Callithrix jacchus: one gene and its partner. The protein of the gene in region 2 purifies or fractionates together with the protein of the main gene of each other region. This does not show direct contact. Links are inferred from orthologs where the notes say so. Each region holds a gene or a part of one and is shown on either strand. Other genes may lie near its edges.

What was found. Proteins that work in one complex are often made in the same cells at the same time.
Region 1: the proteins of OCIAD1 (region 2) and SLC6A8 purify together in Homo sapiens (co-immunoprecipitation; 3 studies listed by BioGRID and IntAct, with this or other methods). This does not show direct contact. The link is inferred for Callithrix jacchus from reciprocal best matches to the Homo sapiens genes OCIAD1 and SLC6A8.

What each region holds. Positions count from the first base shown.
Region 1 is NC_133524.1:149,611,994-149,614,807, forward strand, and holds the end of SLC6A8 (sodium- and chloride-dependent creatine transporter 1), read left to right. Parts: intron 1-70; coding exon 71-173; intron 174-259; coding exon 260-360; intron 361-437; coding exon 438-608; intron 609-791; coding exon 792-932; 3' UTR 933-963; exon of another isoform or gene 964-1,970; 3' UTR 1,971-2,293; downstream 2,294-2,814. UniProt on the Homo sapiens protein: Creatine:sodium symporter which mediates the uptake of creatine. Plays an important role in supplying creatine to the brain via the blood-brain barrier.
Region 2 is NC_133504.1:144,982,399-144,986,150, reverse strand, and holds the start of OCIAD1 (OCIA domain-containing protein 1), read left to right. Parts: upstream 1-1,372; 5' UTR 1,373-1,772; coding exon 1,773-1,779; intron 1,780-2,896; coding exon 2,897-2,959; intron 2,960-3,672; coding exon 3,673-3,752. UniProt on the Homo sapiens protein: Maintains stem cell potency. Increases STAT3 phosphorylation and controls ERK phosphorylation. May act as a scaffold, increasing STAT3 recruitment onto endosomes. Involved in integrin-mediated cancer cell adhesion and colony formation in ovarian cancer.

The DNA.
Region 1 (2,814 bases), on a different chromosome or scaffold from region 2:
GGGGTGGGGGGTCTCCCTGTAGCCTCCGGTGACCGTCTGCCATCTTCCCTCACTGGACTCTGTCCCCCAGGGCGGGATGTACGTCTTCCAGCTGTTTGACTACTACTCGGCCAGTGGCACCACCCTGCTCTGGCAGGCCTTTTGGGAGTGCGTGGTGGTGGCCTGGGTGTACGGTAGGTCATGGCTGAGGGCTGGGCTGGGGGACAGTTGGGGGGCAGGCAGGTCTCCAGCTGGGCCCTCCCGCCTCACCTCGCCGCAGGAGCTGACCGCTTCATGGACGACATTGCCTGTATGATCGGGTACCGACCTTGCCCCTGGATGAAATGGTGCTGGTCCTTCTTCACCCCACTGGTCTGCATGGTAAGGGCTGGGGGAGGTGGAGTCGGGGAGGTGGGGCAGGGTGGGGGCCCCACTAACCATGGCATTCTGGTTCGTAGGGCATCTTCATCTTCAATGTCGTGTACTACGAGCCACTGGTATACAATAACACTTATGTGTACCCGTGGTGGGGCGAGGCCATGGGCTGGGCCTTCGCGCTCTCCTCCATGCTGTGTGTGCCGCTGCACCTCCTGGGCTGCCTCCTCAGGGCCAAGGGCACCATGGCCGAGGTAAGGCCCCTGCCCAGCCCACCCTCCCCTCCCCTGCTGTGAACATTCAACCCAGCCTGCTTCCTAGCCAGGGAGTAGCCCCAACTGGGCTGGCAGGCAGTGGGAACTGGAGAAAGGCAGAAGTGGTCACCTGGGGACAAGCAGGTGTGACCCGGGGCTACAGCATGTCCTCCTCTCCTGCAGCGCTGGCAGCACCTGACCCAGCCCATCTGGGGCCTCCACCATTTGGAGTACCGAGCTCAGGACGCGGACGTCAGGGGCCTGACCACCCTGACCCCAGTGTCTGAGAGCAGCAAGGTCGTCGTGGTGGAGAGTGTCATGTGACAGTCCAGCTCACATCACCAGCTCACCTCTGGTAGCCATAGCAGCCCCTGCTTCAGCCCTACCCCATCCCTCCAGGGGGCCTGCCTTTCCCTGACACTTTTGGGGTCTGCCTGGGGGAGGAGGGGAGAAAGCACCATGAGTGCTCACTAAAATAACTTTTTCCATTTTTAATAAAATGCCAAAAATATCACAACCCACCAAAAATAGATGCCTCTCCCCCTCCAGCCCTAGCCAAGCTAGTCCCAGGCCCTCCCTAGCACCCCACCCCCGACCCGCAGTGCTGTCCTCCTCCTGTCCCTGCCATGCCCACCCCTGCCCACCTCTCCAGCCTCGGCTCTGCAGCACACCCTTGGGTGACTCCTCACCCCAGAAACAGCAGTGGCAGCTTGGGAAATGTGAGGAAGGGAAGGAGGGAGAGGCGGGAGGGAGGAGAGAGAGAAGAGAGGCAAGGGAGGGGCAGCAGAGCTAAGGCAAATACTTCAGCTGGGCTACACCCTCTCCCCCCATCCATTACAGAAGCTTAGAGAGCCAGCCAGCAATGGAACCTTCTGGTTCCTGCGCCAGTCGCCACCAATCTGTGTGAGCTTGGGTGCGAGTGCACGCGTGCGTGAGTATGTAGCGTAGATAGAGATCTCTGTCTCTCAGCAAAGCTGAATACCAGATGTAAATGTTGCCTCTGGGCAAAGGAGGCTTGTATTTTGCACATTTTATAAAAACTTGAGAGAGTGAGATTTCTGCTTGTGTATTTCTAAAAAGAGAAAGGAGCCCAAACCATCCTCTCCTTGCCATTCCCATCCCTATAAGCCCTACCTTGCCCCTCTACCCCTAGCCAAGGAGTGTGAATCTATAGATCTAACTTTCATAGGCAAAACAAAAGCTTCCAACTGTTGTGTGTGTGTCTATTGTGTGGATGTGCGTGTGTGGTCCCCAGCCCCAGACTGGATTGGAAAAGTCTGTGGTGGGGGCCTCAGGGCTGTCCCCACGCTGTCCCTTTGCCTACAAGTCTGTGGGGCAAGAGGCTGCAATACTCCGTCCTAGGTGTCTGGCCTGCTCAGTCTTCCCACCCTGTGCCCTGGGCTGGGCAGACCCCCAGGAAGGGACCCCGGGCACAGCTTCCACCTCCAGGCTTAAGGCGGATATACTTCCTGCACCTCCAGTCTTCCGTGTGGCAGCTTTCACCCGCGTATGTCTGTGTCACACCCAGTCCCGAGACAGCTGAGTGACCCTGAGAAAGGCTTCTCCCACACCCGGACAGAGGCTGGAGGGCTGGGGCTGGGTGAGGGTGGCAGGCCTGCAGGGACATTCTTACTGTGCTAAAAAGTCACTGCAAACATAGCAATAAAAACATGTCATTTTCCAAAGCGGGCTCCTGCTTCCGCCTCTGCTGCTCTAAGAAGGGGTTGGGGTGCAGGAGGTAGGGGAACCTCCTCCAGCTGGAGCTGCTGCAGCAGGCAAGGCTCTGCTCTGGGGGCCTCTGCAGCCCAGGTCAGCCGTCTTCTGGGGACTGGGAAGGCAGCAGCCCAGGGAAAGCCTCGTCCCCTGGAGCGGAGGCACTTGGGGAGAGCAGGACGAGAGTGAGCTGGAGAGCAGCCACACCAGCAGGAAAACCATGGGTGCTGAAATTTTCAAATTGTTGCCCCAAGAATTTGTCACTGAACAGGTGGCCTTCCAAGATCCGAAACAGGTGATGGGGCAGGCCCGGGCCAGGCAGGTAGCAGCGGAGGAGTAAGTCTGCCTCAGGATCAATTTTGAAGGTGCAGCCAATAGGGGTTGTGCGTGACCAGGATGCAGGGCTGGAAGAGGAGTTAAGGATGACAGACTTGGCCTGAGCAAGAGGAAAGATGGAGCTGCCAGGCCCTGCAACAGGGAGGCAAGGAGAGAA
Region 2 (3,752 bases):
CCAGAAGGAACTTAGCATGTCCCAGGAACAAAATGAGTATTAGTTACCAATACTGATTACCTCAGGGATTTATTTGGTTCGATAAAGACTTACAAGCCAAGGTCTCTGTCCTAAAGGAGCTCTGTAAGAGAGACAGACATAAGTAAGAAAGATCATAATGCAGTGCAGAAGTACACTGCAGTGACAGCAGTATGGACAAGCTAAGGACTAAGAAGGAAGACTGAGTAATTCTCTGGGGTGTGTTTCAGGGTAGGTATCACAAAGATGGTGATGTAAAAGCAGAATTTTGAAATATCAATAGAATTGACAAAGCAGGAAATAGAGTTGTGCTGAGGGACCAATGCACAGAGCACACTGAGGGCAAAGACCTCCAGCTGGTTCTTATTAGTGAACACTGCAAGAGAAGAAAGTGATGCTCAAAAGGCAGAGGCCAAGCCATCATGGGCCTTATATTCTGTGCATGACTGAAGTTATCAAAAGACTCTAAGGAAGGCAACTCGGGATTGGACTTGTTTTACATGACCATCTCTCTTAATTATGTCTGCGGGAGAGTAAATGTGAAATGATAAAATGGCAAAGGGACTCAGAAAGAGATGAGAAACCTGAGAGGCTTTTAGGGTTGATAAAATGAGTAGGACTTGGATTGCCCACTGTTTAGTAACTAATAACTTCCAGTCCCTGGTACTAATAAATACTTGAGGAAGGAATGGATGAAAATGAGTAGTGATTGGCTGGGTGTGGCAGCACCATGTCCCATAAGCGGAAGTCATGAGCCCCGTATTAACAGACATTGAGCGCTTAAAACCTTTAGATGTGTTGTTTTAATTCTAATAAACTTATATGCATTTCCACTTTTCAGATGAGAAAATTCTTAGGCTCAGAGAGACTACGGTACCCTGACAGCGGTTCTAGAACTCTTAGAAACTTGGCTCGAGGATATGACAGATAACCAGGTACGTATGCTTAAAAATTACTTTCCACTACTTAGCTTACAGGGTCAAAGAATGAAATTATCTCATTTATGATAAAATGTATAAAGTCGCTAACTCTCCAAAAAGGGACAACATAGGGTTCCAGAATGTTCCCGCCAGCCTGTCAAGGGAAGCCCAGAGAGGTGAGTCACAATAGCCCAAGACAAGCTTACCCTCAACCCTCCCCGTCACCCAGGGAGGGCGCGGGCGGGGTTCTTGGTCCGCCGCTGTCGCCTGCGCAGTCGCAGTGCGGCTCTTGAGCGCCGCGGCCTGAAAGAGAAGGGAGGAGAGACGAGTATACGCATGCGTCCATCCTGGGCCGCTAGCTCTTAAACCTCTCAGGGAGTTCTGACGTCATTTCCTGCCGTAGGTAGCCACTGTCTCCGGGTCGCGGTCATTTAGATCCCCAGTCTGGGTGACTTCTTGCGGCTGTACGCCCCCTCCCCCTCCCCGCGGTACCTTGCACTTTTCTCCTTCCCTGCCCCTCCCTAGTCCCTTTCGAGCCTTCTGCCCCTGATCGCTTGGCCTTGCTTCGCAGTCGTCTGCTGCTGTAGACAGGAGGTGGGTGAGGTGATGCACACAGCCCCGTAGTTGCCCTCCGCGTATGCCTTCACCACCTCTGTGGCCATCCGCGACTTTCGCACCTTCCGCCATTTTCCTGCCTGTGAGGGTGGATAGATCGCGCTCGGGTCTCGGCCTCCTTGGTGTCGGTGACTGCTGAGGCGACGGATTGCTTCTGGGGGTGTGAGCTGGGGAAGTTCGTGGTCACGGAATGCCTGTGGGGTTGTTGATCAGTCAGTAATGGCAGGTGGGAGATGGACACAGGGAGTGGAGGATGGAGTGCGGGAATCAGCGGTTGTAGGCCGCTGGGGCTTCAATCCTTCTTTCTTTTTTATTAAGTGCTTAAAATGGTATTGTCTCCAGGGCCTTGTCTGCCCTGACAGTTTTTGTGGTGTTTCTGGGAAGGATGCTGTTGTGAGAAATAAGAGAGTTTCATTTTTTTCGAATGCGGTTGTAGGGTAGAAGTATATTATTCAGCAGGCTCCATCCATCCATGAATTCGGCTTACCCTTTTTATTCCTTTTCTGGATCTAAGGGATTGGCATGTAGTAGGCCCTCATGGCTTACTGACTAAATGAATTAATTGTGTATGCCATTTCCTGTTTCCATGCAAATTGTTATTAAAATAAGAAAAATAATGATCCCGCGTAAATATTCTGTAAAATACAGTTACTTGATCTGTTGGTCTAAGTCCCAATATATGAGTTTTTTTTTTTTTTTTTAAAGAACCAAATAAAATTTACGTTCTTGGAATTTTATGCCTTTTTTATAATATATACTTGGGGAGGAAGGAAATTTGGAGATACGGAATTTGTTGTTAGCTTTACATCACAGGGTGAAGGATATGACGTCTTTGTTATTCTGTAGTTTTGGAGTCCTCTTTTGTGGGAAAGGTTGAATGTTTCTGATGATTATTTTGTTTTTTAATATGGAAACTCAAAAATGACTTGAGATTTTTTTCTCTTCTGTTTTGGGGAATTATCCTAATCATTGGGCATAGATTTGCAAAACAACCAAAACGTAAGATAATATGAAACAAACAGTTTCAGGAGGAAAAGATATGTATATTATTTTATTGCTATCTTTTTATGTCTTGATATTAATAAAAAACAGTATAAACTTATAAAACGCTTATGCTTTTTCAATTAAGGAACGTAACCTGAATAGTGAGTCAAATTAATAGGTCTGTTACTTTTTCATCTAGCTATTTTTATGTGAAGTATCTAAGATACTGTGGTGTGTAGTAAATGCTTGTTGATTGATTGCTATGTAGACTAGTAGTTTTACTATAGCCTACATCTTAATTTACTTTGACCTAACTAGTGATGGTTTCTAATACTTAATATGTGATGTTTTTGATACAGGAAAGATGAATGGGAGGGCTGATTTTCAAGAGCCGAGTGCAGAAGTTCCAAGACCAATTACCCGTAACTATCTATTAAGTATTTATAATTAGAAGCGCTTTCTATGCAAAGGAAATTTCACTGGTTTGAGTAACAGTGGCAGGTGGGCTGGCTTCATGAGCATGTGCAGACAGGCCCCTGTACTTGATTTCATGTTTCTACTCTTGAAATTCTGAATAATTTGGACAAGGAGTTCCACGATTTTTTGTTTTGTTTTGTTTTTGCAGTGGGCCCAGCACATTACGTTGTCAGTCCTTGATGAGCAGATAGTAGCATTAACTTCTGTTTGAAGTCAAAGTTTGTTAAAAGTGTGTAAATGGCTGGGCGCGCTGGCTCATGTAATCCCAGCACTTTGGGAGGCAGAGATGGGTGGATCACCTGAGGTCAGGAGTTAGAGACCAGTCTGGGCAACATGGTGAAACCCCATCTCTACTAAAAATAAAAAAATTATCCTGGCATGGTGATGGGTGCCTACAGTCCCAGCTACTCGGGAGGCTGAAGCAGATCACTCGAACCCGGGAGGCGGAGGTTGCAGTGAGAGGAGATTGCGCCATTGCACTCTAGCCTGGGCAACAACGGTGAAACTCTGTCTCAAATAAAAAAATGTATAAGCCAGTTGTTTTATATTTTGAGTTAAAAAAAAAAAGTGTCTCTTGTTAATATTTAGGCTAATATAATTTTTCAGACTTACTTTTATTATGGGTAATTTAATGTTTTTTTATTTTCCTTGTAAAAAGACATAGGGCCTGATTACATTCCAACAGAGGAAGAAAGGAGACTCTTCGCAGAATGCAGTGATGAAAGCTTCTGGTTCAGA